Elephas maximus indicus: one gene and its partner. The protein of the gene in region 2 purifies or fractionates together with the protein of the main gene of each other region. This does not show direct contact. Links are inferred from orthologs where the notes say so. Each region holds a gene or a part of one and is shown on either strand. Other genes may lie near its edges.

Region 1 (14,961 bases), on a different chromosome or scaffold from region 2:
TAGTAGTCGAGTGCTTAACTGTTTGCACCACCAAGGGACTCTGTTTTTGTTGCTGTTAGATGCTATCGAGTCAGCTCCAACTCATAGCGACCTATGTACAACAGAATAAAACACTACCTTGTCCTGCACCATCTTCACAGTTTTTGCTATGTTTGAGCCCACTGTTGCAGCCACTGTGTCAATCCATCTCACTGATGGTCCTCTTCTTTTTCACTGACCCTCTACTTTACCAAGCATGATGTCCTTCTCTAGGGACTGGTCCCTCCTGATAACACATGCAAAGTACATGAAACAAAGTCTTTCCATGCTCCCTTCTAAGGGGCATTCCGGTTGTACTTCATTGAAGAGAAATTTGTTTGTTCTTCTGGCAGTCCATGGTATATTCAGTATTCTTCGCCAACACCATAATTCAAAGGCATCGATTCTTTTTCAGTCTTCCTTATTCACTGTCCAGTTTTTGCATGCATATGAGGCAATTGGAAATATGTGGGTCAGGTACGCCTTAGTCCTCAATGTGCCATCTTTGCTTTTTAACAGTTTAAAGAGGTCTTTTGCAGCAGATTTGCCAATGCAACACATTATTTGATTTTGTAACTTCTGTTTCCATGGGCATTGACTGAGGATCAAACTAAAATGAAATTCTTCACAACGTAAATATTTTCTCCGTTTACCATGATGTTGCTTATTGGTCCAGTTGTGAGGATTTTTTTATGTTGAGGTGTAATCCATACTGAAGGCTGTAGTCTTTGATCTTATCAGTAAGTGCTTCAAGTCCTCTTCACTTTCAGCAAGCAAGGTTGTGTCATCTGCATATTGCAGGTTGTTAATAGTCTTCCTTCAATCCTGATGCTGCATTCTTCTTCGTATAGTCCAGCTTCTCAGATTTGCTCAGCATACAGATCAAATAAGTATGGTGAAAAGATACAACCCTGACGTACACCTTTCCTGATTTTAAACTATACAGTATCCTCTTGTTCTGTTCAAAAAACTGTCTTTTGGTCTATGTACAGGTTTCACATGAGCACAGCGAAGTGTTCTGGAAATGCCATTTGCACTGCAATTGATTACTTCTGTGCGGCATTTATAGCCATGGTCTTGTAACTCCCATCTAGGAGACTGGACGGAACTGTGTGATAGGGTAATGTGGCCCACCAAGGGGATTGGTCAGTTCTGCCTTAAAAGAGAGCCAATTTCAGAGCAGAGAGGAAAATCCCAGCACCACCAAGGAAGAACAGCCAGGAGTCAGCACGTCCCCTGGACCTGGGATCCCTGCGCTGAGAAACTCCTGGACCCAGAAGACAGAAAGTGAGCTGTAACCTTGAAGATGGTGAGAAGCAGTGGCAGGGGAGACCCAACAGCAGGAGATGGTGTGGTGGGCTTCCCAGCCCACAGAGAAAAAAAGATGAGTGTCTTTGGGCAGAGGCCAAAGGCCAGGGAGAGGTGTGCCTGTGAGCACAGCTGGGGAGAGGCTGTCCTGACAGAAGAACTGTATCCTCAACGTTTTTGAGCCTGAATTGTAACTGTTACTTCCCTAATAAACCCCATAATCATGAGTATTGTCTGTGAGTTCTGTGTAGCCATTGCAATGATTTATCGAACCCAGCGGTAAAGTAGAAAGTGCTGTTCGAGGGATGGCTGGCGTCAGAATTAGCAAATATGGCGGAGAGAGGAGGCTTGTCTGGTCTCCACCTCATGGGACTCAGCCTTATGCTGTTGATCTTGGTTCTCCTTCCCCCTTGTGGGGTTGGAGGAGGTCAGATACTGCCCCCACACTGTTTTTTACACCATTCTTCACAATGTTACTCATAATTTGTTCTGATCCACACAAAATTTACTTTACATAGTCAATAAAACACAGGTAAACAAACATCTTTCTGGTATTCTCTGCTTTCAGCTAAGATACATCTGACATCAACAATGATATCCCTTGTTCCATGTCCTCTTCTAAATCCACCTGGAATCTCTGTCACTTCTCTGTTGATGTTCTGCTGCAACCATTTTTGAAATATCTTCAGCAAAAATTTACTTGCGTGTGATATTAATGATGTTGCTTGAAAATTTCAAGTTCTATTGGACCACCTTTCTTTGGAATGGGCACAAATATGGATCTCTTCTAAACAGCTGACCAGGTAGCTGTCTTCCAAATTTCTTGGTGTAGGTGAGTGAACGCCTCCAGTGTTGCATCCATTTCTTGAAACATCTCAATTGGTATTCCTTCAATTCCTGGAGCACTGTTTTTTGCCAGTGCCTTCAGTGCAGCTTAGACTTCTTCCTTCAGTACCATTTGTTTCCGATCATACGCTACCTCCTGAAATGGGCAAACATCAACCAATTCTTTTTGGTACAGTAACTCTGTGTAGTCCTTCCATCTTTTTTTTGATGCTTTCTGAATCATTCAATATTTTGTTCATGGAGTCTTTCAATATTGCAACTTGAGGCTTGAGTTTTTTCATTTCTTTCAGTTTGAGAAATGCGGAGCATGTTCTTCCCTTTTGGTTTTCCATCTCCAGATCTTTGCACATTTCATTATAATACTCTATCTTCTTGAGCTGCCCTTTGAAGTCCACCATTCAGCTCTTTTACGTCATCATTTCTTGCCTTCGCTTTAGCTACTCTGTGTTCAAGAGTAAGTTTCAGAGTCTCTCCTGACATCCATTTTGGTCTTTTCTTTCTTTCCCATCTTTCTAATGACCTGTTGCTTTTTTTACATATGTCTTTGATGTCAGCCCACAGCTCGCCTAGTCTTCAGTCATTAGCATTCAGTATGTCAAATCTATTCTTGAGATGGTCTCTAAATTCAGGTGGGATACACTCAAGGTCATATTTTGGCTCTCGTGGACTTGTTCTAATTTTCTTCAGCTTCAACTTGTAGTTAATTATGAGCAACTGACGGTTTGTTCCACAGTCGGTCTCTGGCCTTGTTCTGATTGATGATATTGATCTTCTCTACTGTTTCTTTCCACAGATGTAGTCAGTTTGATTACTGTGTATTCCATCTGGTGAGGACTATCATTTATGTTGTTGAAAAAAGGTATTTCCAATGAATAGGTTGTTGGTCTTGCAAAATTCTATCACACAATCTCCAGCATCGTTCCTATCACCAAGGCCGTATTTTCCAACTTCCACATTCCAAGCGCCAATAATTATCAATGCATCTTATTTGCTTGTTTGATAAATTTCAGACTGCAGAAGTTGGTAAATATCTTCAATTTCCTCATCTTTGGCATCAGTGGTTCATGTGTAAATTTGAACAATAGTTGTATTAACTGGTCTTCCTTGTAGGCAAATGGATATTATCCTATCACTGATAGCACTGTACTTCAGGATAGATCTAGAAATGTTCTTTTTAGCGATGAGTGTGACATTGTTCCTCTTCAATTTGTTAGTCCCAGCATAGTAAACCATATGACTGTCTGAATCAAAATGGCCAACACCAGTCCATTTCAGCTCACTAATGCCTAGGATATCTATCCTCGAGTGTTCCATTTCATTTTTGACAACTTCCAATTTTCCTAGATTCATACTTTGTACATTCTGTGTTCCAATTATTAATGGATGTTTGCAACTGTTTCTTTTCATTTTGAGTCATGCCACATTGGCAAATGAAGGTCCCAAAAGCTTTACTCTATCCACATCATTAAGGTTGACTCTACTTTGAGGAGGTAGCTCCTCCCAGTCAAGTTTTAAGTGCCTTCCGGCACTGTATCAGTGTTCTGCCGCTATTCTTTAGATTCTCACTGGCCAATTGTTTTTAGAAGTTTATCATCAGGTCTGTCTTCCTAGTCTGTCTGTCTGGAAGCTCTGCCAAAACCTGTCCACTATGGGTGACCCTGCAGTATCTGAAATATCAGTGGCATAGCTTCCAGCAACACAGAAGCCACCACAGTACAACAAACTGACAAATGAGTGGTGGGGGACTCCCATATAGCCCCCATTATCTTCACTGTCTTACACAGAGGTCATCTTCATGGAAGGCGCATTCTGGAGTCAAGCAGTGCATGACCCAGCAGCCCCGCTCCTCCTCTTTCCAGGACTTTTAAAGCAGGCAACACTATAAAATGATGAATGCAATGTGGATAAAGGTATGTAACACAGAATAGGTACAAATATCATGTAATGAATAGGCTCCATTGTATATTTTACAAGTTTATGTTATGCATGTAGGTGAAGGTACAAAGGCTCAGTGGAAACTTTTATGTTGAGAGCAGAGAAGGAATCAGTTACTTATTGAATCCTTAGAACAAACCTAGACATTATTCCTGTTCCTATTTTACAGGTGAGGAAACAGGTACAGAGAGGTTACCAAAAAAAACCCAAACTCACTGCCGTCGAGTCAATTCCGACTCATGGTGACCCTATAGGACAGAGTACAACTGCCCCATAGAGTTTCCAATGAGCGCCTGGCGGATTCAAACTGCTGACCTCTTGGTTAGCAGCCATAGCACTTAACCGCTACGCCACCAGGGTTTCCACGGAGAGGTTAAGCAACTAGTAAATGTCAAACAACTAACAGGCAGGACTTGGACTCATAATCCATCAGCCACAGCCTTGACCACAATGACAATGTATCTCCACCTTTTGTGATTGGCAACATGCTTTATTGAACTCCCTTGGAAATTTTCTCAATTCTATCACCATTTGTGGATGGTACAGCATTAAAAAGTGATTAAACTTTATTTATTTATTTGGGACAGGGAGTATTTAATATAAAGACCTATTACCTATAGCAGGGGATTGGAGGAAGGAGGGTTGGCTAGTAGGAAGTAAAGAGAACTCTGAAGAATGTTATTGTTGCTGTTGTTGGCTGTTGAGTCGGCTCCTGACTCGTGGTGACCCTAAGCACAAAGGAATTGGACCATTGCGACCCACAGGGTTTTCACTGGCTGATTTTTCAGAAGTAGGTCACCAGACCTTTCTTCCTAGTCTGTCTTAGTCTGAAAGCTCCACTGAAACCCGTCCAACATCTTAGCAACACACAAGACTCCACTGACAGACGGCTGGTAGCTGCACATAAGGTACCTTGGCCGGGTATCGAACCAAAAGTGGTTAAACTTTAAAAGTATTTACTGTCATTTAAGATTGTACTAAAATTTCATTCAAATAGATTGTATATGATTTGTAACTTAAAACAGAATTTTAACTTTTTTCGATTTAATAATTCTTGCAGTTTAACTTAAAAGGAATTTATTTAAAAAGTATCATTTTTCCCACAAATAAATTTACTGGTATCATAACCATTGCTGTCAAGTCAATTCCGATGCATAGTGACCCTATAGGACAGAGTAGAACCTCCACATAGGGTTTCCAAGGCTGTAATCTTTATGGAAGCACACTGTCACATCTTTCTCTCAAAGAGTGGCTGGTGAGTTTGAACTGCTGATCTTTTGGTTAGTAGCTGAGTACTTTAACTACTGCACATCCAGGTCTCCTTTATTGATGTCATGCCAAAACGAAAACCAAACCTGTTGCTGTCCAGTCAATTCAGACTCATAGTGACCCTATAGGACAGAGCGGGATGGCCCTACAGGGTTTCCAAGGGAAGGCTGATGGATTCAAACTGCTAACCTTTTGGTTAAGCAGACTGAGTTCTTAACCACTGCACTGCCAGGGCTCCATTGACAAAACTGCTCTCATGCCCTAATACTTGAAATCATGGCATTTTATTCTTTTAAGTAAAAGCATCCAGTTTTATTTTTAAATGATGAAGGTTTTGGGCTACTCTTTGCAAGCACTTCCATGCACCTGACATTGTGGAGGAGAAACGGTGCCACTTTCTGATTTTTAAATCTGCCAAGGCCAGCATCCCATGAAAACCCCTCAAACCCGGTAAATCTCTCAGCCTCGGGCACACCTGGCTGATTGGTCCTGCTCTCAGGGCCTCTCTGCATAGAAGGATATAATACAAACTACAGGACAGGGTCACTGCAAGATTCATGGTAATGCTAAGCACCTGAATTTGAAATGTGGCTGCTGCAACTGACGAACCAAATTTATTTTACTTAATTTTAATTAAAATTTAAATTTAAGAACTGATACTTAATTCAACTTTTGGAAATATTTTTGTTTGAACCAACTTGAGTTTGTGAATCTACTTTCTCAATTGTAAATTTAATGAAATTTAAATGTACATCAGAAGTTTCTATGAAAATTCTAGCATTTGAATAGAAATTTGCTCTAAGGTTAAAATACACATCGGATTTTGAAGACTTAATAGGAAAATAAATGTGAAATACCTTAATTTCTTATTGATTACACGTTAAGAAAACATTAAAAAGTATGGCATTAAATAAAATACATTATTAAACTAATTTTATCTGTTTTCTTTTTTTTTTTTTAAAGTGGCTACTAGAAAATTTTAAATTACATACGGCTCGCATTCTATTTCTATTGGACAGCACTGACATAGATGGTTTGCCAAACAGAAAAAGCCCTAAAATAAAATAGTGGCTATTATTTGCGTGAGATAAGAAAAACAATGTTATTCCTTTGTGAAGATTAACACTGCTTGACGTCAAGCAGGTGCTCCAAAAACAGTATTAGCTAGAAAATACTGGTTCTGATAAAGGAAGAGAAATGAAGGTCGCAGGTGGAATGTAAAATCAGGTTTTTGAATTGTCACTTGGCGCTTAGTTCTAGGCCCAGAAAACTTAAAGCTGTCCCGTTAGTGGCCTCGCCACGGAAGTGGGTGCCCCACGGCAGCTCCCAAGACTCGCGGTGGCCTCGCGGCCCAAACCTGTGGCCTTTCTCAGAAGCTTTTCAATTGCATCGCAAAGCGGAATAGCCTGGAGTCCCGAGCCTCCCGAACTCCGCGCCCGAGGGCGTCTGGAGCGCCTCGTCCAGCCACGAAGGCGGCCTGGATGGGGACACTCTAGGCGGCTGGTGCGCCGCGGGCAGAGCCACGGCCCCGAAACGCCCGGCGCCGGGAAGACAGGAGCAGCCGCGAAGGCGCCAGGGGAATCTGAAGCCCGAGAAGCCGAGAGCATGACGGCCTGAGACCGGGCCCAGCGACCCCAGTCGGAGGCGGGCCCACGCCCCTTTCGAACGCCCGAGCGGGGCTGATGACGAAAACAGGGCGCGACGGACGCACACACCGCCCCGCGCTCGCACGACGGTGCGCGCTGGGAAGCGCGAGGGTGTCCCGGGCCGTCACCTGCGCGACCAGCCTTCCGCCTCGCCCACGCTCTGAGCTCCCGCCACCTCGGCAACTCGGAGCCCGCCTCGTCCGAGGCCTCCGCGGAAGCGAGGCGCCAGGCCTCGCTTCTGTCTCTTTAAATGGTGGGGCCAACGGGCCGCCCCTGCAGCTGCTGCCTGGGAGGCCCCGCGCGCGCCTATTGAGGGACGAACCAAGATGGCGGCGGCATTGGCTCTGTGAGGAAGACGGAAGAGGCGGTGGCAGCGGCGTAGAGGAAGGGACTCCCAACAGCCAGGAGCGCTCGGGCGGCCGGGGGTCTCGGAGTCTCCTGATCAGCGGCAACAGTAGCAGCAGAAGCAGGCGGCCGTCGGTTTCGGACATTTGAAGAAGGGAGGGCGGTGCGGAGCCACCGGCTACGGTGGCAGGGTCAGGTATAAGGAAGGAAAACATGGCGGCGGCAGCCTGAGTAGGCGGCGGCGGCGGCGGCGGCGCGGGAAGCGACTTCGGGGAGCTCATGGCGGAGGCTGGGGCAGCGCAGTGACTGGCGCCCCGAGTTCCTACCGCGGGCGGCGGAAGGACGCGGAGCGCTGCGCGCCTTCTCGGGGCGGCCGGGCGGCCGGGCTCGCCGTGCCTGGACAATAGCGCCGAGGAGCCGCAGGCGAGGGAAGGCGGCGGCCCAGAGCTCGGGCCCGAAGGCGGGCCATGCGGGCGGCGGCGCGGCCCCGCGGCGGCCAGCGGCGGCAGTGAGGCCGGGGAGACCTTCGCTCGGCGGCGCCCTCCCGCCTCGGCTCCCGCCTTCCCCGGGCCCCTGCTCGGGCGACTCCGGCGGGGCGCCCGCCCCAGGCCCTGGGCGGCACGATGACCGACACCCGGCGGCGGGTGAAGGTTTACACGCTGAACGAGGACCGGCAGTGGGACGACCGAGGCACCGGGCATGTGTCGTCCGGCTACGTGGAGCGGCTGAAGGGCATGTCCCTGCTTGTCAGGGCCGAGAGTGACGGTGAGTGGAGCCCCTCGCGGCGGGACTCTGGTCGCCTCCACGGTTGTCGGGGGGCAGGGGCGCCCTTCGGACAGGATCGGAGGGGTCCCCGGCTGGGCTGCGGGGGCGCGGTGCCCAGCCGCCAGGGAGCTCCACGGAGAGCGCGCGAGTGTCTGCTTCTCCGAGTGCCTGGGGCATGTGGGTGGGAGGGGAGCCGAGCACGTCCGAGCTGCGCCGCCCGGGAGCGGGGAGAGGTCGGGGCCGGGGGAGCGCGGGGTGTGCGGCTCTTCCGCACCCGTGGGGTGACCTTGAGAAAGGCACCGCTGCGTCCGATCTTCCGCCTTAGTTCACCCATCTGTAAAGCAGCGAGATGACACTTTGTTGGAGCTAGGAAAGTTCTTCGCCAACTCACTCTGAAGAGCTTTTTACCCTGCACATGCTCTCCTTGTTTCCTTTTAATATCTCTCTGCTGCCTGTTTCTGATCCTGTTGCAGGTTGACAACAATGGTTCATGGATCTGGCGGCTACACTCGGCAGGGAAAATGCGCTTCTTTGCCCGGAGAAGATAGACTTGTGTTACTCAGTACTGCTTGCCTTTTTCAAAGTAGCAATGCCGACTTTTGTGGGTCGTTTTCATCTGTAAACATCTTGCAAAATTGGAATCATTCTATGCGAGCTTTTTTGGTTCCTTAAATATATGTTTATATTTTGGTTCAGGTAACAGGTGGGGAGAAGTTGGCAGATGTTTTTAAAATCGTTTAAGATCTGCCCTTGTGCCTCAGGCTTCACATAAACCCTTCACATTTTTTGTAACAGCCCTCCAGGTTCATAGACCACGTGGTGTCAAAAGTAACAGTGTTTCAGATTTATAAAGACTTGCTCCTTGTAAGGATTCCCACTTCTCTCAGTGCATACTGTGAATTACACTTAAAAGAATATAACCATCTCAGGGGAAACTGTTTTCACGTTGTTTCTTACCGGTTTGGAAGTAGTTTTATTTCACCTTTCTTGTTACTTTGCAGTCTAATTTTCCAGTAGCTTTTTCAGTTTATTATGGTTACAGTCGTTGGTCACATATCTGAATTATTACAAATTCATTTCAAGGAATTTTCCATTGGACACTCTAACCAGAGCTTCAGTTACACAAAAAACAAAATTCTAGGGATATTGACGTTCAGTTTGAACTGAAAAGTGGTACAATGGTAATTTGGAGTAAATTGTCTATGGGCTACCCAAATTAGCTTTAAACTGGAGAAAAATAATTTCTTTTTGGAGGCATTTTTAAGATTTTGAATATATTGGATTTATTTTTTTGAGACCTATCTGTCTCGTGAAATAATATGTTTGACTGTCAGGTGTTAGTGTTCTATTGTGTAGGACTATCACATAATAATCAGCTATCCTACAAGTCTGGATGTTTGGCAGAACTTTTTACTTAGTGAGTTGGAAAGGTTCAGTTAACTTCTTTTGAGATGACAGCATGTGGATCTTTGAAATCTCAAACGTAAAACCTTAATTCACATCATGTATTTAAACTTGACTTAATACAAATGAGTCTTTTGTTTAAAGTATTTTTAAACATTAAAGCATAATGTCATACTATCAAGAGGAATCATACGCTTCTAACATGGTAATTTAGGACTCTGTTTTTTTCCCAATTTTGATTTTTACCACTTTAGCAGTAGTCCCTAACGTCTTTCCCTCTCTTTGGAGGGAAAGTTGAATGACTAAAACAAATGGCTTCAGTTTTTATCTAACAGATAAAGAGAGCTAAACTAAATTACTGGTATGCTCTTGTTAAATTTGAGTTGTAAAGAAAACTGAATCCAAAGAGTGGGCTTAGAAAAATCCCAGGAAACTTGTGAAATAGTGTAGGAAACACTTTTAGTTTAATGATTAACATTTTTTCTAATAGGAAAATTCCAAATATGAATAATAATCGTTAAAATTTACCAAATGCCCACCATGTGCCAGGGATTCTTTTGGGACTTTTCTTGTAAATTCTCACAGCACCCCTCTGAATCTGAAATAGATACTATTAATAATTGTTTTTGTTAGTTGTAGTCAGATAAGCTCCAACTTATGTGTAACAGAACAAAATATAGTGCAAAAAAAGAGGTAGGTACTATTATTGCCATGTTTTACAGATGAGGAAAGTGAGGCTCAAAGGGCTAAGTAACTTGCTTAAGATCACATAGCCAGGTCAGTGTTAAGATCTTGCTTAAGATCTTTGCAGCTAGGGTCTGTGTTGAGGCAGGGAGACTATAATAATGCTGTCTCAAATGGAGTCTCGGTTCTTGTTAGAAGAGCTTGACACCTAACAATCAGAGAGGCAATTTCTGAATGGAAGTACTTGTGGCCCCCGTATTACAGGGCAGATCAGTCTTGGGGTTAGTATGTGCATCCCCTCAGTTGCTGAGTGCCTTAGTAGGTATATGGCCCACCTGCTTTGGAGGGGAGGGATGTCTGACTGAGCTATGGAGTGCATTTCTGGATCACAGCCTTATTCACTAGGTTCCTCATGGCAGTATTTGTTGTGGGAACATGTTTTCTTTAAATGTTCTTGTTTTGTACTGTCAAGTTGATTCCGATTCAGTGACCGTATAGGACAGAGTAGAACTGCCCCAAAGGGTTTCCTAGATGGTAATCTTTATGGGAGCAGATCATCAGGCCTTTTCTCCTACAGGGTGGCTGGTGGCTTTGAGCTTCTGAGCTTTCGGTTAGCAGCCCAGCACTTAACCATTGTGCCACCAGGGCTCCTTCTTAATGAAGATAAAAAAAAATTTTTTTTTTCTCTCAGGATTTATGGTAGCTGTGTACCTATAATATTACGTCTTTCAGCAGAGATTTAGTATTTTCTTTCAGCTTATGCCATACCTGTTAACTTGCTGAAGTGAGCATAATTTCATTTCTTACTCATGCTTTCCTGTCTTCGTTGTGGTTTTTATGACCTCCCACCTACAGTTTTTGAATTGATAAAAAGAAGTAAAAAAACTGGATTTCTGCACACAATGGAGGATGTCCTTGGACGTAAAGGCACATCCACACTCTTTACTACAGACACTGGCCAAGCATCGAGAATGCTGTTAGTTGCTGCAGAGTTGATCCTGACTCATAGTGACCTCATGTGTGCAAAATAGAGCTCACTGCCCCGTAGGATTTTCAAGGCTGTGACCTTTTGGAAGCAGATCACCAGGCCTATCTCCCGTGGCGTTGCTGGGTGGGTTCAAATCATCACCCTTTTAGCTAGTAGTCGAGCACTTCAGCATTTGTGCCATGCAGGGACTCCTAAATTCTGTATTTCTACATTTCAAAATAGTTTTCTCTATTATCCAACTTTACTTGCCTGTTTCAGGGTTAAGAAGCAAACTCCTCACTGTTACTTGAGGCACGGGGAGGATGAGACCCAGGGAAATGTTTTGTTCGGGTAGTATTTGTAGCTGATGGTAAAACTGGAATCCGTACTTCTGTCTCTTGATAGAACTCTGCCTTGGCTGTAGGTGGGTCTGCCCCTACCCCTACTGTAACAGAGAAAAGGAGGGCAGAACACTTTGTGAGAAAAAGGCTTTTTTTTCGGGGGGGGGGCTGCTGTGGTAGAAGAAATGAACGGAGGTACCATCAGCCTTTTTTTTTTTTTTTACTCACCTTATAAGTCAGTAATAATATAAAATGTTGCATACAGTAAACATTCCAGATGTATATTTAGCTACCAAGAAGAGCTCAGTGTTAGTACCGGGGCAAGATTGCACTCTGACAGTTTACTTCAACAGGGTTTTTCTTTGTGTGTGCACCTACCTTATAGAAAGTTAATAGTCCTGGGGTAACCAAACCCCTACTGATCATCCGTTGCAAATGATAACTTCCCACAGTTTGAGAGCTGTTACCTGCACTGGCTATAGCTCAGGGCCTGGAGTGTAGTGGAGGCTTGTCCAGCTGTGAAAGCTTTTAATAAAATGTTACCAATTTTTCCCCCTTAAACCTTCCTTTCAGGTTTTAAACGCCATTGTGTAAACTGGAGCCCTGGTGGCGCAGTGGTTAAGAGCTCGGCCGCTAACCAAAAGGTTGTTGATAGTTTGAATCCACCAGCCACTCCTTGGAAATCTCACGAGGTAGTTCTACTCTGTCCTGTCAGTTTGCTATGAGTCAGAATCGGCTTGGCAGCAATGGGTTTGGTTTGTGTGTGTGTATAAACTGTGGGCAAAAAAAAATCAGGATAGAGGGACTTGGAGCACAGACCTGCTATAGACCTTACAGATGAGTTTTTGGACTTGAGTGACTCACTTTTGGTGGTGCCTTCTTCCTACACATAAGCATTGATGAAGACGGTATAATGGGTAAGCCTGAGGCTGAACCACCTCATCAGGGGGACAGGCTGGAGCTGTTCATCTGAAGTCCTTCACTGTTTGTCCAAATTAGTCCTGAGACCACCACCTGGCCTTAGGTACTCCCATACTGTCTGAATCTGATTGGTTGGTTGATACTGAAGATTAAATCACAAAAGTTACAGAAACTCTAAAATAAATCAGTCATCCACTGAAAGGAACTGAGATCCTCTAAATATGTTAAGTTTTCCAGATAACTAAAGTTTTCCAGATAACTAAAGTTAGTTATCTTTGTGCATCAGTAATTTTAAAACCGTCGGCTATTTCCATGGAATGCTTCCTAAATATAAAACATTATACTGAACCCGTGTTGGTTAGACTCATACTTGTAATGTGTTTCTGGATCATCATTGTCAATACAAAATTTTCTACTGTACGGCAGTACAGCAACGCCATTAAGATGATGGTCTGAGCACGCGCTGAAAACAGTGCTGATTGCGCGCTGGTTATGTACTACTGCGGTAAGCACCTCAGTACAAATTTTCAACTAATACTCATGGCGATCCTATGAGGTGTAGGTATTATTTTTCTTCACATAAGTCTTGGTGTATTCTTTAATTGAATAGTGAGTCTTTTTTTTTCCAACCAGAAATCTAGATTTTTATGTGAAATCTTTCCTTTCAAAAACGTTTGCATGGAATGTGTGTGTGTGTGTCAGTGTGTCTGTGTGTTGTTAGACCAGGAGTCAGACAAGCTAGCTGCATCCAGGATGCAGGCACTAGTTTTAGGTCCTCTGATTTAGACTCATTGAGAACAGTACCTTGCTGTCTGTGCTGCCAGCTACCCTTATTCTCCTCCCCAGAGGTGTTTACTCTGTTTTGATGGTGTGATGAGGACTGGCAACAGGGTATAACAAAACAAAACAAAACACCCAAACCCGTCAAGTTGATTCCAACTCATAGCGACCCTGTAGGACAGAGTAGAACTGCCTCATAGGGTTTCCACGGTTTCAAACTGCCAACGTTTTGGTTAATAGCAGGCTCTTAACCACTGAGCCACCAGGGCTCCATTTTATCAGTGTATTTTGGGCATCAATTTGTGTTAGCATGCACAGATCTATGTCATTTAAAGTAACATCGTTTCCCACTGTTTAATTTACACAGTGTCCTGTTGGTGGCATTTCAATTTTCCGGTTGCTCTCTAGTCCGTTCCAACTCATGGCAACCCCATGTGTGTCAGAATAGAACTGTGCCCATAGGGTGTTCAGTGGCTGATTTTTTTAGATATAGATCAGCGGGTCTTTCTTCACAAGTGCCCCTGGGTAGACTTCAACCTGCAACCTTTTGGTTAGCAGCCAAGCACGTTTACTGTTTTTACCACCCAGGGACTCCATCAGTGGCATTAGAGTAGCATTTCTTAAACTTATTTTTCTCAGTGCACCTTTATACTCTTAAAATTAAAGATCTCAAAAAGCTTTTGCTTATGTGGATTATATTTGCTGATATTTAATTAAAACTAATGCTTTTGAAAAATATCAATTCATTTAAAAGTAGAGTGTTTTCTTCAGTGTTACATGTTAACAAAGTTTTTAAGAAAAAATATAAAAGAGTTCAGTGAGGAGAGTCATTGAATTACGTTCTTAGAAATATCTTACTGTGTGGTTTAATTTTTAAAAGAGGAAGATTTTCACCTCTTTCTGCATTTAGCCTGTTGCAGTGTCACAGGGTAGACCCTGTGAGAGAAATAAGAATTAAATAAAAAAAAGCAAATAACATCTTATCATTATCATGAAAATCGTGTTGATCCTCCAGCCCAGGTGGGGTCCCCAGACCACACTCTGAGAACAGGTAGCTTAAAGATTGGTTCTAGGTTTCTTGTGTTAATACAGGCATTGCTGATGAACTTTATTCATGTATCTGGGCACACTTGCGTGAAGGCGTAGGGTAATTTCCTTGAAGAGAAATTACTGGACAAAAGAAGCGTGTGTTTAAAATTTTGATAATGATAGACGATCCTTCAAAAAGGTCCTGCTGATTTTCCATTTTAGGAGTAGTAAATGAGGATTAACAACATCTTTTTTGACATTCAAGAAACAAGATAGTAATTAATGTTTTATTTTTCTTTGAGGAAGTACATGCACAATTACAGGTTTGCAGACTTTGGAATGGACTTTGTGACAAGCATTTGCTGTGTAGTAATTTTTAGTTTACCTTTGATAAGGGTTGTTGTGTTTGCTAGTGGTCTGTGTGTTAAATCCTGGAATGACATTTAATTAAATGTATTGATGCTTTTCACGTAGTTTGATCACCCTCTGTTAATTTTTCTTTTTGTATTCATATTCCCCCTCCCAGTCTTTCAGGTTGGAGGTGGGAAGGCCTTTCTCCAGTCTTGATATTGGGGTTTTCTGTGTAGGGTTGTCGATCTCTAGTCTGTGTGAAAGAATATCTTTTTCCGGTATGTAGGGGGGAGGGTCATGGAAGAGGTGAGGGTGAATTCCTCTGGAATGATAACTCCTCTTTGGGTGAATG
Region 2 (15,936 bases):
ATCATGCTATCTTCAGTGTTCCAAGATGCACTGAAAAGTACTGATGACTGGAATGCGAAAGTTAGAAACAAAGAAGGATCAGTAGGTGGAAAATATGGCCTTGGTGACAGAAATGATGCTGGAGTCTCCATTTAGCACATGGCAAATCCCCATAGCAGGTGGCAAAATCACCAAGCCATGCATTCCAGCTCTGGAGCCTCAAGCTCTGAAAGCGCCATACCCCGTGGTTGTTTTAACTGGACCTGGTGGAGGAACACAGTGCGCTCCTCCTAGGGCAGATCCTTGCTTGGTGAGTGTCCTCTCACTTCCAACAGGAATCCTGTCTGTGAGGTCTAACAAGTTTTTTTAAAAGAAAAAAGAAAAATACGCAGACTTCCCAGCCCCAGGTAATAAGAAACCAACCTTTTTGCGTTCCTTTTGCTCTCTGTGCTTCCGCACTGTTTGACTGCCTTTTCGAGCAATAATGGCCAAGTCCGAAGTGGCATCCTTGACTGGAATCACAGGTTCTGGCTGCAGGAGGTTGAGGAAAAAGAAATCCCTCACTGATCATTAAAATCAACAGGGTCCATTTCACTCCCTTCTTCCCTCTTTTTGAGTCTTCCTCTTTCCACCTCTAGGCACAGGGGAGCCTCACCTGCTTGGTGAAAACGATGCGCCCGTCCAGGAAGGGAGGCACCAAATTATGCACCATCAGATGCACCTTGGCTGCATTGTCTTCTTCAAAGTCTTCGTCCACCTCCAGCCGATGGACCACACCACTGGTGAGCATTCGGTTGGTTTCCCAGCGCTCGTTATCCTGTGGGGACACAATGCGAAGCCACACTCAGACTGTAACCAGAAGGTCATCCAGAAAGGTCACCAGGCAAGTCCACCCTTCGAGTCCTGACAGGAGGACCATGGGTGGCCCAAGAGATGTCACAGGCCTTTCAACCCTGCAGCTCCTTTGACTGAAGAATCGCTGATCTCAAATTACCTGCGGTTACTTTATCCAAGAAGCAGCACCTTACTCAAGGTCAGAACCCCCATATGGAGACACAAATGGTGACAGTTCCTGGCTCGACTTATCAGTCCTGACCACTAAGACACAAAGGACACAGACCACAGAGCCAGGGCCCACCATATCGATGAGTGAGTGGATGACAGCACCCATCAACAGCACCCCTCAAGGAAGTACCGTAAAGCAGAGAAGTCACGTGCTGGGGTTTTTGTAAGCTACTGAAAGGTCTGTGCCCAGCCCTCTTCCACCTCCAGATGTGTATGTACATCTGGTCTCTAGGCAACGGGGAGACAAACTATGGTATCATCCTTGAACACGACCTTTCCCATACGCATCCAACTTCAGCTCTGAATACACTCCAACTACTGTAGGTGACCTCACCTCATTAATCTGTCTCCGCTGAGCTGAAATCCGCTTCTGCTTCTGTTTATGCAGATGCTGCTCCCGCCTCCTCACATAGTCCTCGGAAGAGTAGGCCAGGGGATTATGGAACTCATCGTATCCCTCATCCATCATGTACCAATCCCGGTCAGCTTGCTGAAAAGCATAAGACAAAGTGACAGAAACAAGAAGCAGGTCAAGTTTACGTGCAAGATTTAGCCAATAGGGGAGGAAACGTGTGGTAAGAAGTCACTAGTGCCATGGAGCACCCCGACTAAAGGGCAGTAAAGAACCATGAGTCATCCAGCCCATCATAACAGCACTTCTTAGACTTACCACACTGTGGCGCCAGCACCTAACAAGGAAAGTTAGGTCTGGCCTACAGCATTAGGCAAGAAGTTTTCCTGTGGAGCCAGTCCTCTGGAAAGAGATTCCAGGACTTCAGCACTGAACCACTCAGCTAGTGTTAACAATCTCATCAAAGTCCAAAACCACTAGGGTGTCACTTGTGGCTCTTGTGCACTAACCCCACTTTCCTCTGCCACCTCTTATTCGGCCCCTTAAAGACATTAAGCTTTTACCCTCTGGTCATCCTCCCATTGCTGCCGCTCCTCTTCTGTGTCAAATGGAATTCCTTCCTCACCATCCTCACGCCTTCCTGAAGGAGAACACGTAGCACGTCAGTCCACAAGAGCCTAACTTATCCCCAGTGGCCAAGACCAGACCTGGAAAGTCACACAGCCCCAGAAGCACAGCCTCAGCTCAGCCTCACCAGGATCAGAGGTCTTGCTTCCTGCCTCCTCCTCCCACTGAGTTACCTCGGCCCCTGGACAGACGCGGGGTGGACCCCAGGTGTCTTCTGTCCTCCGCCCACTCGTTGTATTTGTAGGATGGGGTTGGCAGAGGTGTGTCCTCGGAGTACTTACTCCTCACGGACCTGGGAAACAGGATTGCCAGCATCTTAAACAGTTACTAAGCTGAGACATTCTCCCCAGCTGCCAGCTGCTCCTCCATCTTAGATCCCTCTGCCTCATCACACCCACCCCTTGTCACCCACCCAGAGCAACAGGGATGCTTCAGATGCTTCAACCAGAACATCACCTATCTCGATCTCGAGTGGAAGGCCGATGGCTCCTTTCGGAGTCCCGATAGGAAGGTGATGGGGAGGGTGATTCCCACTGCGAACGTCTTGAAGTGCCATAGCCACTGTCCTCTTCCTCCCAGGTAGACCTTGAAGGAGTGGCAGCATCTAAAGCCACGAAAGACACATCCACAGGAAATAGTTCATTTACCAAGACATAGCGCTAGAACAATCAGCCAAAAGTCAATTTCCCAAATTTATTTCTTTTACTATTTATAAATCTTGCACCTTTTTCTAATGGATAAGGTGTTTTTGACAGTTTTTAAAGGCTTTTGATTTTAATGGATTAGTTTTCATTTTGTTTATAACAACGTTTTAAGAATTGTTGAATTTGTCTCTGTAAATATCTCTCTTGAGTACAAAGAATTCTTTTTAATAAATCCTTCTGCCTCCCAGTTCCCCACTCTTTACTGCTAGTTGGAAAATTGCCTGTTCAGCAAACGTGCTTATCTCCCTAAAGGAAGCATATCCATCTCAAGAGGTCAGGGCTATGCCCACCCGACTCCAAACCAAGTATTCCAAGAGGCTCATGGTAGAATCATTGCCCACGATGAACCCACTGAGGATGGGAGTCACTTCCTCTGCCTTTCTATACTTTTATACACGTGAACCTCCACAACCCACAGCCAGGAAGCAGGAAATTCCACCTTTGGGCCGATGTCGGGGGCTCTCTGGTTCATTTCTTCTGCTGCTGCGCTCTGATCCTCCATCTCGCTCCGATCTACTGCTGTGCCGACTTCTATCTCGCTCATCTGTGGAGAGCCACACGCAAGGCTTAGAAAACGTGTCCTGCCCTAACTTACACCCATCTTCACCCTTGAGAAAGGACAGGCCTTCTACCACTCACTCACAGGTGCAATCTGCACTGCTATTATGCCATCCATGGGGTTCCTGAAACTCACATTTTCCCACTCTTTCAAGAGGAAAAAATAGTTACTGGCTAGAAAGTTTCAAATTCACAGTAATAGTTATTTTCCTGCAAGAATTCAAAAAATGAGAGTTATAACTCTATAGTTACTAGTTTTTTAATAGTTACAAGTTTATAAGCTATAGAACTTAATACTGAGCAAAGCCAGCATTGGATTTTACGTCTGGCTTTGCTCCAGAGCACTGTCCTTTCTCTAGCACCAATAATACTGTAAAATCTGATTTTCTCATACATCTTACCCATTATCACCTGTTCAGCAATTTTTATAATAAAATAAGAACCATACGCTTAAGCAAAGCAGCTATGTTGCTTTTTTTTTTAAATTTTCTTAAATTGCCTATCATTCCCAATCCCAGTGGGGTCAAAATAAACCAGACTAACATCTTGCAAATAACCAATTACCACTGAGTTGATTCCAACACATGGTCACCCCATGTGTTTCAGAGTAGAACTATATTCCATACAGTTTTCTGGGTTGTGATCTTTTGGAAGTAGGTTGCCAGGCTTTTCTTCCATGGCACCTCAGGAGAGATTAGAACCACCAATCTTTGAGTTAGTAGCCAATCATTTAACTGTTTATGCCACCTAGGGACTCCTATCTTGCAAACAGGGCTCCCTAATTATTGGGCATTATGAAAACTGCAACAGGAAAAAGGCAGTATGTTTATTCAAATGTCTAATAGGCAATAAGTGCTATGCCAGTTTACCTCTGTCTCTCTTGCGGTCATAGTCTCGATCCCGTGATTTCTCTTTCTTCCGATCTTTTTCTTCTTTAGATGAGGCATAGACACCATGTTCCCGCCGTTCCCGTTCTCTCTGCCTACTGCGTTCCCAAAACTCTTCACTCACACCACCAGGATGGGATGGTGTCTCTACTCGGGCACATCGATAATGTCTGAAAGGTATGGGTAATGATAAAAGACCCCTCTGCAGGAAAGAAACCTTGCCCAAAAGAAGTTCTTGGCTGTGCCAAACAAGTGCTCTGTCCTTTTCCACTTTATCTCCCTGGTACCCCAGTCTTACATATGGCAACAACCCATAGCATTTCTAACTTCAATCATTTATTCTCTAGTTACCTTTGAACTCTCCCCACAAATATGAAGAAAATATCAATTCCTACCTACTCTGAACATTACAGAATCATAACAAAAGTATAAAGCTCTAAATGGCCAATAAAAAAAACTGAGAGATACACGAACAGACTGCTACTTAGCTCAAGTACATACACGAGACTAAATGGCCAGCTCCTGCCCAGAGGCAAGATGAGAAGGCAAAAAGGGACAGGAGCTTGTTGAATGGACGCGGGAAATCCACGGTGGAAAAGAAGAGTATGCCGTCACATTATAAGGAAAGCAACTAGGATCACATAACAACGTGTGTATAAATTTTTATATGAAAAACTAACTTGAATTGTAAACTTTCACTTAAAAAAACAATAATAAATAAAAAACCAGGTAAAAAAAGCAATGAAAAAAAAATGAGCATAAACACTGGATTTTACTTTCTGGTCTCCATTTTCATTCCCTTTGGATTAATCCTTCCTAAGGTCTTTACCGGAAACCCTGGTGGCGCAGTGGTTAAGTGACACTGCTCCTAACCAAGAGGCTGGCAGTTCAAATCCGCCAGGCGCTCCTTGGAAATTCAATGGGGCAGTTGTACTCTGTCCTATCGGGTTGCTATGAGTCAGAATCAACTTGATGGCAGTGGGTTCGGTTTTTTTTTTTTTTTAAGGCCTTTACCTGTCTTTTCGGCTACTTCGGCCGGACTGGTCACTGTCCTCCTCCTCAGCATCCCTCTGGTCATCCTTGCCCTCTTCCCAGTCCTTGTAGGAAGAGATTCTGGACTTCTTCTTGTCTTCTCCGTCATCCTTCTCCTCTCGCTCCCTCCGTTTCAGGGAGGCCAACAAGTCCAGTCCCAGCAATGAAGGGCGAGGGGCAGGGGCCTTAAAGACATGCTGCTCACTAGCCGCACTTTTGGTCTTGCAAATAAGACCACCAACCTGAGAGTCCAGATCAGTGCCTTCCAGTCGATGGATCGAAGCATCCTCGCTGCTGTCCTCCATCACAGGCTATGGGATTTCCCTGGCAGGAGAATAAACCATTTAAGACAAGACATAAAACAGGAGAAGGTTAGGCTCTGAAATATACCAGAATACCTATAGTTACAGGTATATTTAGGGGTTAATTCTCCCCATCCCTGCAACAAGACCAGGATATCTTTAGCTTATCTTGCAAAAAACTTTCAGTCAAGTCACTGACAATCCTGAAAGACCCCCTTGCAGAATCCAAACACACACCAGAAACACACAAACATCCCCCCAGAATCCAAAAGGGTATCATCCAGACAAGAATAGACTTCACTAAGGAACAGTTATGAGGGACTAGCAGCATTTGTACAGGCAATGTAGTGGAAACACCCCTAGGTTTGAAGTCATAAAACCTGAGTTAGAATCCAGGCTCTTGACACTGTCTATTCGCGTGATTACAAGCAAATAACTTAATCTTTGGCTGGCCATCGCTTCCATGTCTATAAAGTGAAAACGATGCTTGCTTTACCTAAAATATGGATTATTATGAGGATCAGACAAGAAAGTACATGTGAAAGTTCTATGTAACTATAACCCACTGCTGTCAATTCTGACTCACAGTGACCCTATAAGACAGATTAGAACTGCCTCATAGGGTTTCCAAGGCTGCAAATCTTTATAGCAGCAGACTATGACATCTTTCTCCCCTCCTGCTGAGTAGCTGGTGGGTTCAAAGGGCCCTTGCTTTTTCGATCAGCAACCTATCACTTAACCACTGTGCCACCAGGGCTCCTTTATAACCATAAACAGTTATATAACTAAAGTTTTTACATTATTTACCACACTCCTATATACTGAGTGGGTCCCTTGCCACTTTTTTTTTTCATGAATGTACTCTCTATTCTTCTACTCTATCCCTCTCTTTAAACTACAGATACAACAGAGTACATAGAGATGTTGGGGTATTAGGCTGCCATCCATATTATCCATACTCTGGTGGCTTTTTTTCAGACCAGTGTGTTTTGTAGAAAAGAATTACCTCACAGCAGTCAAAATCTGTTTAATAACTATTGATGTTCACCAAAAACATTGATGAGAAACTCTAGGGAACGGTGTTCCTGAAAAATATTTTGTTTAAGTGACTGTAAGACTTCCTGACCTTCAACAAGTAACAAATTCTTCTTACTTCTCATTACACGGCATTGCAAACATACACCTATTCTGAGTGCTTGCATAATTCCCCTCATTCCAACAAGTCAGTGAAGCAGAGGAAAGGGTAGGGTGCCACCAGAATCCAAAATATTTTGCCAAGCTCTAATGAACACACCCAGCTCTACATTGAGAGTACAGTCAAACAGACTGGACACACATTATCAATCAGATGCAAGAGCTGCATTTTGAAAATATTAGGCAGAATATAAAAGAGATGGACGCATATTGGTGACACCTGTATACATGTGCGACACTCCAAACAGGGAGGTAGAAACATACAGGCTTTGAGTAGCTGTAGTTTAAACTAGAAAATTTACCTCTAGAATACCATTCTATACAACTAAAGGAACCTCGTCTATCTTGTTGACTGCTTTAGCCCAGCACCTAGTTAAAACAAACGTTTGAGGAATAAATGAATGAGTTTAAACATATCAAAGGAGAACCAGACGCCACAAGTTTATGGAGACATCAAGCAAAGGAGCACACGAAAAGGTTTCTGACAGAGAGGCCTTAACTAGCTTTGAAGAACAAAAAATAAGGCGTGAAGAGGCTAGATTCTGGAGAACTAATGACAAAGACGCCACAAAAGGTATGAGAAAAACAGTGAAGAAAAAGCTAGATTAACTCATTCAACAATTGTTCACTGAGTGCCTTCTCTGAGCCAATCACACTGTTCTAGGCAATAGGGACAGAGCAGAAAGCAAAACAGGCAAAAATTCTCGCACTCTTGAAGCTGACATCTAGAGGTGATCGCCCACGAAGTTGTCTGGTAACGACAGCCGCGTGAAAAAACAGAGGAAGACACACGGGGCCCTACTCCGGCTGATCATCGGTCAGGGAGTGAGCTAAGGCAGGGGCCTGAGGAGGGGTGAGGGATCTGACCGGAGCAAAGAAAGGGGACAGGGCAGGAAGGACCGGAACGCATCCCTGAGGTGAAAAAAGCGAGTTGGGTGACAACCGAAAAAGTTAACTTTTCAAACCCGGACCTGAGCAAGGGATCGATATCCGCCGCGGGAGCGGCCCGGAGTGGCAAGGGCAGGAAAAAGAAGGGACACTCACGGCAGCGAGCACAACTCTCCGGGCCCTTCGGTCCCGGACTGTGGGGCGTCGGCGCCGCCACTCTACGCTCAGGCGGCCTCAGGGAGCCAAAATCCGCACCTTGAAAGCCGCCATTCTTACCCCCATGATACCTTGCGGGGCCTTCTCTATCCGCGCAAAGATACCACCGAGAGCAGTCCGCCAAACGCCGGTTCCTGGTTCCAGGAGTGGGACAAAGCGCGACCTGGCTGGCAAGGCTAGACTATCCTCTTTTGAGTCTCCTCGCGAGCCAATCACGCTTAGTCTCAAAGGTACTATCCAACGTCTAGTATGGGGGAGGGGGGGAAGAGCTGAAGAAGAAAGGTGAATCATATTTAATATGGGCGGAAGTGACTCTAGGGTTTCCGGTTAGAGCCGGTAAAGTGGGCGGTCACTAGAATAATCTCGCCTGCATATTGGGCGGTTAAACGGAGGTTGACCAGCGACCGCTCAGTATCTACTACACCAGTGCGTTTTCTTTCTCGTTTCTTTACCCGGAAGTGGTCAGCGGAGGGTTGCTAGGCAACAGCCCCTCGGTTACTTGGCGTTAGGGTCGCTGCCTGAGTTGGAGCTGAAGAAAAGCGCCACGTGTGTCCCGCTTCTTCCGAGAAGGGGTCCCGTTTGCTGACAGCCCTGAAGTGGAAGAAGGTGACTTGTACAAGTAAAGTAAGTGTGTCTTCCCTGGCAGTTGTAGACAGGAGTAGCCCAGCCACCAAACCGGTTGCCCTCTCGAGTTGATTCCGATTCACAGCGACCCTAAAGGACAGAGTAGATCTGCCTCATACGATTTCCAAGGCGACCGCCACATCTTTCTTCTGCCGAGCCACTGGTGGGTTCTAACCGCTGACCATTGGGTTAGCAGCCAGCGCTTTTAACCACGGCGCCGTCAGGGCTCCCAGTCTAACCACAGGCATCTTTAAAAAGTTTATCAAGTATTTCTCTCATAATACATGTTTATTGTAGGATACTTGGACAGAGGCACACCCTGAAATAAATAAAAATCACCCGTTTATCCACACCCAGAAATAACCACTGATGGTGTTTACGATGTTTACTCGTCCAGCAATTTTTCTATGCAAATATGTACACATACATTATATTTACGGTTCATGTAAAATTGGGTTTATACTTTACATACCGTTTTGTAACTTTTTTTGAGCTATGTATCATGAGAATATTTCAGTATATTAATTGTTCATCTCTAAATTAGTGGCTGTATAGTGGCCCATTGCAGGACTGTGTTCATTTATGTCATCAGTCCCCTATTGATAGCCATTTAGGTTGTTTCCAATTTTTCACCATTATAAATGTAATGAATACATGTTACACAATAAATCTTTCTGCACGTGTATGATTATTTCCTATGTATTAATTTTTTTTAATGGAATAGTTGGTCAAAGAATAGCTTTCTTTCCAGAATAGTTTTGCCTCTCTGCATTCCAGCAGGGATGATTAATACCAGCCCCAACATTCACATTTGGTGTGATTGTTGTATATTATTATCTTGTTTAATCTGTGCAAATTTAGTGGATTTTTAAAGTTATCTTTTAATTTGTTTTTCTTTAGTTATTAGTAAAGTTTATGTTTTAGGCTGGGTTCTCTAGAGAAGCAAAACCAGTAGAGCGTATGAATGCACAGATTTATATCAAGGAAACGGCTCACACTGATTGTAGAGGCTGGAATGTCCCAAGTCTGTGAATCAGAATAGTAGTTTCTCCTGATTCACATAGCTGCTGGGGCTGGTGAACCCAAGATGGGCAGATCAAAGAGCAGGGCTCTCGCTTACAGGCTGTGAAGATCGCTGAGTCCCAATATTGGTAGGCAAGCTGCTAGCTCAAGTCCCAAGAGCCAGAGGTCAGACGAACAGGAGGCAGCCGCAGGATCCAGAGCAAGCAAAAAGCCAGAATGGCTGCATATATTCTCATGCAGGCCACACCCCCAAGGAAACTTCCTTTCAACTGCTCGGTTACTCACAGCAGATCCCATCTTGGGAGTGATCACATGTAAACGCTGAGAATCATGGCCCAGCCAAGTTGACACACAATCTTAACGCATCACAGTTTAACTATGATTGATTGGCCATTTGTACCTCTTGTTTTGTGAATTCCCTGTTAGTATCCTTTGCTATGGACATTTTCTTAAGTGTCATCTCAATTTCCCTCTCCTTCCAGCATTCCATCCAGTCCCCCCCTGGCTTCCTTGTTGACAACTTTGCCCTCCCCTCACCTTCTTCTCTTTATCAGCAACATAGAGGAGTTTCTGAATGTTTGCAATCTAGTGGTGGGACAGATTAATCTTCTCTTTGACTTTTCATCGGTAATTTGTTCTGATACCAACAGTTTGTGAATTCCCTGTTGACAATCAGCTTCCCTGTTTAAAGTATGACCTATTGCAGGAATTTTTATTCATACCTTAAGATATGACATATCACAAAAATACAATGAAAGAAATTCTCACTTTTTCTTAACATTAGCCAGCTTTGGAACTGAATTCAAAATATCAAGTATATTTCAATGAAATCTCTCAAGATTGGCCTAAAAAAACAAAAAACTCCTTGTTAAGAAGTTCCTTAGAAATGAAATTTCTTCAATAATAAAAGTAGAAGCTTATATAGTAGAAAGAGCACTGGAGTAGAAATTTGGTAGTTTGAATTCTAGTCCTTGTAGAGCTAGAAGTGTAACTATAAGCAAGCTAGTCTGTAAAATGAGGGGGATGGGTAAGGCCCTTTCTATCTCAGTATTTTCTGTGTTTTTTTGATTGTTGTTTCCTACACGCCTTCAGCTGATCTGTTTGCCATGTCCCTAATACAAATGTCTATCAATAACGGACTGTTTAAATAGTATGATATGAAGTAGTACGCAGCTATGAAAAAGAAAGTGGAAGTTTTCTATATAAGTATGAAATCTTTGTATGTTAGGTAAAAAATGCAAAGCGCGAAGAGTGGATAAAGTGTGTGCTGGACTTCCATCTGCTCTCCCGACATGCCTTTCCTCCTCTAGACTGTTCTGTGACCCGGAGGCTGGCCTGCCTCAGCAGGTCCCCTGCCCTATGATTTCATTTGGAGGCAGCCATGGGAGCACTAGTAGGAGGGAGGAGAGTGGTTGCATCCCTTAACTGCAGGCTGATTGCTTAGCCAACAGCACTCTCCACTCAGCTGTCTCCACCATCCAGTTCTGGTAACTACTCCCTCCCATGTCTCCACGGTTACTAGCCCCAAAGTTTTGCACTATACCTTGTTTTCCTACATCCTGCCTTCACTAAACTGTCTTCAAATTACCAAAGTTGAGGGTGCCATCTGTTTCCTGCTGGAACATTGATAGAGTGGGCTATCTTTTGGGTGAAAAGGGAAGAAATATAGGAATGCATATTTGTACTCTGGAAGATATGTAAAAAACTGATAAAAATAATACCTGATGGGGGCTTCAGGGGGAGGTTGGGAAATGGGAACTGAGCTGGAGGAGGGAAAAGCAAGGAGGGAAGACTTTTCACACTTTAAATTTCTGTATTGTTTGTTTTTATACCACGTAAATATAATTACCTATTCCAAAAAGTTTTTTTTTTTTTTTACATAGTTAGGACTCATGCACTCAAACTGTCTTTAAACATTGCAGCTTTATTTCAGGATTGCCAGCGAGAATTAATAATTTGGATTATTTCAAGATGAGCTTCCTATTGCCCAAGCTGATCAGCAAAAAAGAAGTAGACCAGGCAATAAAAAGTACTGCAGAGAAAGTGTTGGTTCTCAGGTTTGGGAGAGACGAGGATCCTGTCTGTCTGCAGCTAGATGATATTGTAAGTGAATTTTTTTAATAAATGGTTTTTATTAAAAATGATTACATTTTCTGCAAAATGTATGAAGGGGAGCAGGCAGAGCCTGGGGCTATAGCTGTTCACTATTCAGCACACTTTCACTAAAGACTGATGATGTTCCTTCCACTGAGCTGAATCCCCAAAGCTGTGGTTGTGCTGAATCTGTCCTGGGTGTCCTTCCCCACTACTTGCTGTTGAAGCTCAGTTTCACCAACAACGCAGTATAAGAGGAGAAAACATTATTAACAAGTGTCTACAAACATTATCTAATTCAGTCCTCAAAATAGTGAGGTAATGGTAGCCCCACTTCCCAGATGGGGTAATAGCAGAGAGGTCAAGTCACTTGCCACTGTCATAGACCCACTAAACTGCACAGCTTGGATTTGAACTGGCTGCAGATGCTCTTTTCAATCTAGATTGCTGCCTCCAGTATGTGCTTGATTATAATCTCTGATTTCACAACACATCCTCACACTCTGATGAGTAGGGAGGGAGTGTATGGAACAGATTAGGTTTATTCTTGTCTCCCATTTATTATGGAGATAGCCTGTGAGGGTTAAGGTTGTTTGTCAACTTGGCTGGGCCATGATTCTCAGTGGTTTGGCAGTTATGATGTAGTTTGGCAGCTACGTAATGATAAAATCACCTCCATAACGAGATCTAATATAATGTAAACACCTTCATAATGAGATCTGACATAATGTAATCGGTTCCATGATGAGACCTGCTGTGATCAACCAGTCAGTTTAAAGGGAGTTTCCTTGGGGGTCTGGCCTGCATCCAATATATGTGGACCTTCTGGCAAAGCTCGCTGGCTTTTGCTCACTCTGGATTGTCATCTGACCTCTGGCTCTTGGAACTTGAGCTACCGGTTTACCTTCAGATTTTGGGATTCATCAGCCTCTGCAACCTGTGAGCCAGAGGCCTGCTATCTGAGCTGCCAATCTTGGGTTCACCAGCCCCTGCAGGTGTGTAAGTCAGGAGAAGCCTCCAGCTCGCTCTCTTTCTCTCTACATATATCTTAAAAACCAGAAAAAATATTGCTATGAGTCAGAATCAACTTGACAGCACTGGGTTGGGGATATACATATACTTGGAGCCCTGGTGACACAGTGGTTAAGAGCTACAGCTGCTAACCAAAAGGTCGGTAGTTCAAATCCACCAGCCGCTCCTTGGAAACCCTATGGGGTAGTTCTGTTCTGTCCTATAGGGATGCTATGTGTTGGAATCAACTCGACAGCAACAGGTTTTTTTTTTTTTTTTATAAATACACATATGTATACATACGTATATGTATTAAAAAAAAAAAAACTAAACCCATTGCTGCCGACTTGATTCCGACTTATAGTTAACAGTATAGGGCAGAGTATAACTACCCCATAGGGTTGCCAAGGAGCAACAGGTGGATTTGAACTGGTGACTTTTTAGTTAGCAGCCAAGCTCTTAACCACTGTGCCACCAAGGTTCCTATATATATGTGTGTGTATGTAAATACACAGACACATACACACACACACATCACTGGTTTTGCTTCTGTAGAGAACCCAGCCTAAGACAGAGTCTTAACCCAACACTGAGACCTCTTCCCTCCATTTCTATTACTGCCACCAACAGTGTGCATCAGGTGTTAGGATCCTCACTGCTGTGATTAAGAATGTGTGTGTGTGTGTGTGTGTGTGTGTGTGTTAACCTTGGTGGGAGAAAGGGAACGACCAGAAAAGCATACCCTTAGCTATAGGGAGGCAGGTATATCACAGAGGTCAAAAACACACTCTGAAGCCAAAATGGGAGTTTAAATCCCAGCCTTACTGCTTGCTAGCTATATGACCTTGGGCAAATTACTTTACTCCGTGTGCCTCAGTTTCCTCGTCTATAAAATGAGGACTATAATAGTGCATACCTCAAAGGAATATGGTAAGGATTAAATGAGTTAACAGAAGGAAAGCACTTAGAACAGTTAGCACATAAAAAAAATAGAAAGTACCAAATAGATAAAGTATTTGCTATCATTACGGGGGCTTTCGGTATCTGCATTATATATTTCAGAGTTTTTTGTTTTTAAGTGAACGTGTTATTTTTATAACGCGTTGTCAAAACAGGGAAACCCATGTGATCGAAACTAGGGAAAAAATAAGAGTAAAAATTTATTCACACAACTTTACCCAGAACCCCTTGTCAGCCATAATTCAGACTGGGTGGTGTAGTTACACCATGTCTAATGTAGCCTAATGTGAAACCCAAAAGGACTAGATTCCTGGCCCAGGAATAATTTTCAAATAAGATACTCTGTCCTAGTAAAAAGTTTTACAGAACAGACATTAGCTTCCTCTCACATTGTAACCTGCATCTCTCTCTCCATTCGCAGCTTTCCAAGACCTCGTCTCACCTGAGTAAAATGGCTGCTATATACCTGGTAGATGTGGACGAGACTCCAGTTTATACCCAATATTTTGACATCAGTTATATTCCATCTACTGTATTTTTCTTCAATGGGCAGCATATGAAAGTGGATTATGGGTAAGTGAGGTTGACTTGACGTTATTGCAGCCTTAAAAGTTTCCTTTAAGCAGTTTCAGCAGCTTACCTGTTTGCATGTGGTGTTGGCCCTGTGAGTCTTAAAAGGATTGTTTCCTCAATTGCACTTTCTAATTTTTCGTGTAAAATGAGTGTTTCATGTAGCATTGGTAAATTTTAATTTCCTGCATAAGTATGGAAGAATAGTACAGTTTACAAAGCACTAGCCATTCTTCAGCTTTTAAATATAGAACAGCTTTTAAAATTTTTCTTAGGAATTTCATTTTAAGCAAAATATGTGATTATTCTTAAACTCTTGGGACTGGTAGGTTGTATTTGTAAAAGAAGCATTCCTTCCAGCAAACTAAGACATGCTTCTGTCTTGCCAACTTTCCTGTTTTAAGCCACCCAGAGGAATTTTGAAGTCATACTGCTTCAAGCCTTCTTTAATGCCTTCCACTCCATCCAGTCAGCATCCCAGTGTTTGTTATTGAGTATATCCGTAATTCTTATTGTTTCTTGCTTTAATTGAATTATCTGCTTGCATAGATTTGTATATCTCTTTGTCATTATCTATTGTAAAGTGCAAGCTATTTATTCTCCTGGAACACAATTAATGTAATTATTAATTTGGTATAAACTTTCTAGAGGCCAATTTATGATACTACATATCAAAAGTCTTAACAGTGTCTTTAACCTAGAAATTGTATTTCTAAGAGTTTCTCTGAAGAAAATAATCATGAAAGAGGACAAAATTGGCTATGTGGATGTTCATTTGCTTTATAAGCGAAGACTTAGAACCTAGATGTCCACAGAGAGCTACTATGTATCGATAGGATGCTGTAGATGCATATTTAACAACTTCAAAAAAAATATGGTAGCTGAGAAAAGCACATCACAGAATAGTTTGTGGGGTATGGTTCTCATTATTGTGAAAAACATACATGCAATATACTTAAGCACACACACACGCACATACACACATACATACATAAAAAAACATACGTAGAAAGGATTAGAAGGATATACACTAAAATACGACCACTGGCCTCACTGGTAATTTTATTTCCTTGTATAAAATGTCTATATAAACAGATCTGGTATTTGTAATACTGAAAAAAAAAAAGCACACATATAAATATTTAATATCCTCCATTCCAAAGCATTAGTGAGTAGAATTTGGGGATCATGACTAGTTAATGGCCTTTGCACAGTGCCTAGCAAAAAAAACCAACAAACAACTAAGCTCATGCCAACACTCAGAAAACTCTTCTTGCTAATGATCTGAACAGTGTTTAAAATAGATTTTGAAGCAGAAGCCCTTCACATGACAGCTTTCAGCCTCCCACAGTGACCCACAGCACTGGTTTTAGTTATACACCAAATGGCCCTATAGTCACAAATTGAAAAATCAGTGCTGTGCTTTGTGTCTTCTTCCTTGACAAGAAGAAAATAAAAAAGCTACTATCGTTTTGTTTATCCTGAAGTAATTATTAGAAGTTCTAAAAGAGGTTGTTTCTCTGTTACACTGTCCAGGTCCCCAGATCACACTAAGTTTGTGGGAAGTTTCAAAACCAAACAAGACTTCATAGATTTGATTGAAGTAATCTATCGAGGTGCAATGAGGGGAAAATTGATTGTCCAAAGCCCTATTGATCCTAAAAATATTCCCAAATATGACCTACTGTATCAAGACATTTAGCTCATTAACTACTGTCAGCATCAAAGAGAATGGCACATCTTGAAACAGCACCTGAATCCAGCTGTGTACTTTCTGGAATCCTTTGGAAACATGTTCAGCATCCCAGCGGAGAAGAAGAGGTTTGACTTGTATGTAAAATACCTGGTCC

The links.
Region 1: the proteins of DHX38 (region 2) and PPP4R3A purify together in Homo sapiens (co-immunoprecipitation; 3 studies listed by BioGRID and IntAct, with this or other methods). This does not show direct contact. The link is inferred for Elephas maximus indicus from reciprocal best matches to the Homo sapiens genes DHX38 and PPP4R3A.

The regions. Positions count from the first base shown.
Region 1 is NC_064828.1:105,160,922-105,175,882, reverse strand, and holds the start of PPP4R3A (serine/threonine-protein phosphatase 4 regulatory subunit 3A), read left to right. Parts: upstream 1-7,864; 5' UTR 7,865-7,990; coding exon 7,991-8,132; intron 8,133-14,961. UniProt on the Homo sapiens protein: Regulatory subunit of serine/threonine-protein phosphatase 4. May regulate the activity of PPP4C at centrosomal microtubule organizing centers.
Region 2 is NC_064839.1:38,398,302-38,414,237, forward strand, and holds the start of DHX38 (pre-mRNA-splicing factor ATP-dependent RNA helicase PRP16), read right to left. Parts: upstream 7,965-15,936; 5' UTR 7,876-7,964; exon of another isoform or gene 7,865-7,875; intron 7,837-7,864; exon of another isoform or gene 7,745-7,836; intron 5,529-7,744; 5' UTR 5,510-5,528; coding exon 5,187-5,509; intron 4,343-5,186; coding exon 4,155-4,342; intron 3,272-4,154; coding exon 3,167-3,271; intron 2,628-3,166; coding exon 2,480-2,627; intron 2,316-2,479; coding exon 2,197-2,315; intron 2,037-2,196; coding exon 1,960-2,036; intron 1,535-1,959; coding exon 1,379-1,534; intron 797-1,378; coding exon 635-796; intron 511-634; coding exon 403-510; intron 1-402. Other genes in the region: TXNL4B (thioredoxin-like protein 4B), read left to right, coding at 11,423-11,554, 13,938-14,089, 15,623-15,788. UniProt on the Homo sapiens protein: Probable ATP-binding RNA helicase. Involved in pre-mRNA splicing as component of the spliceosome.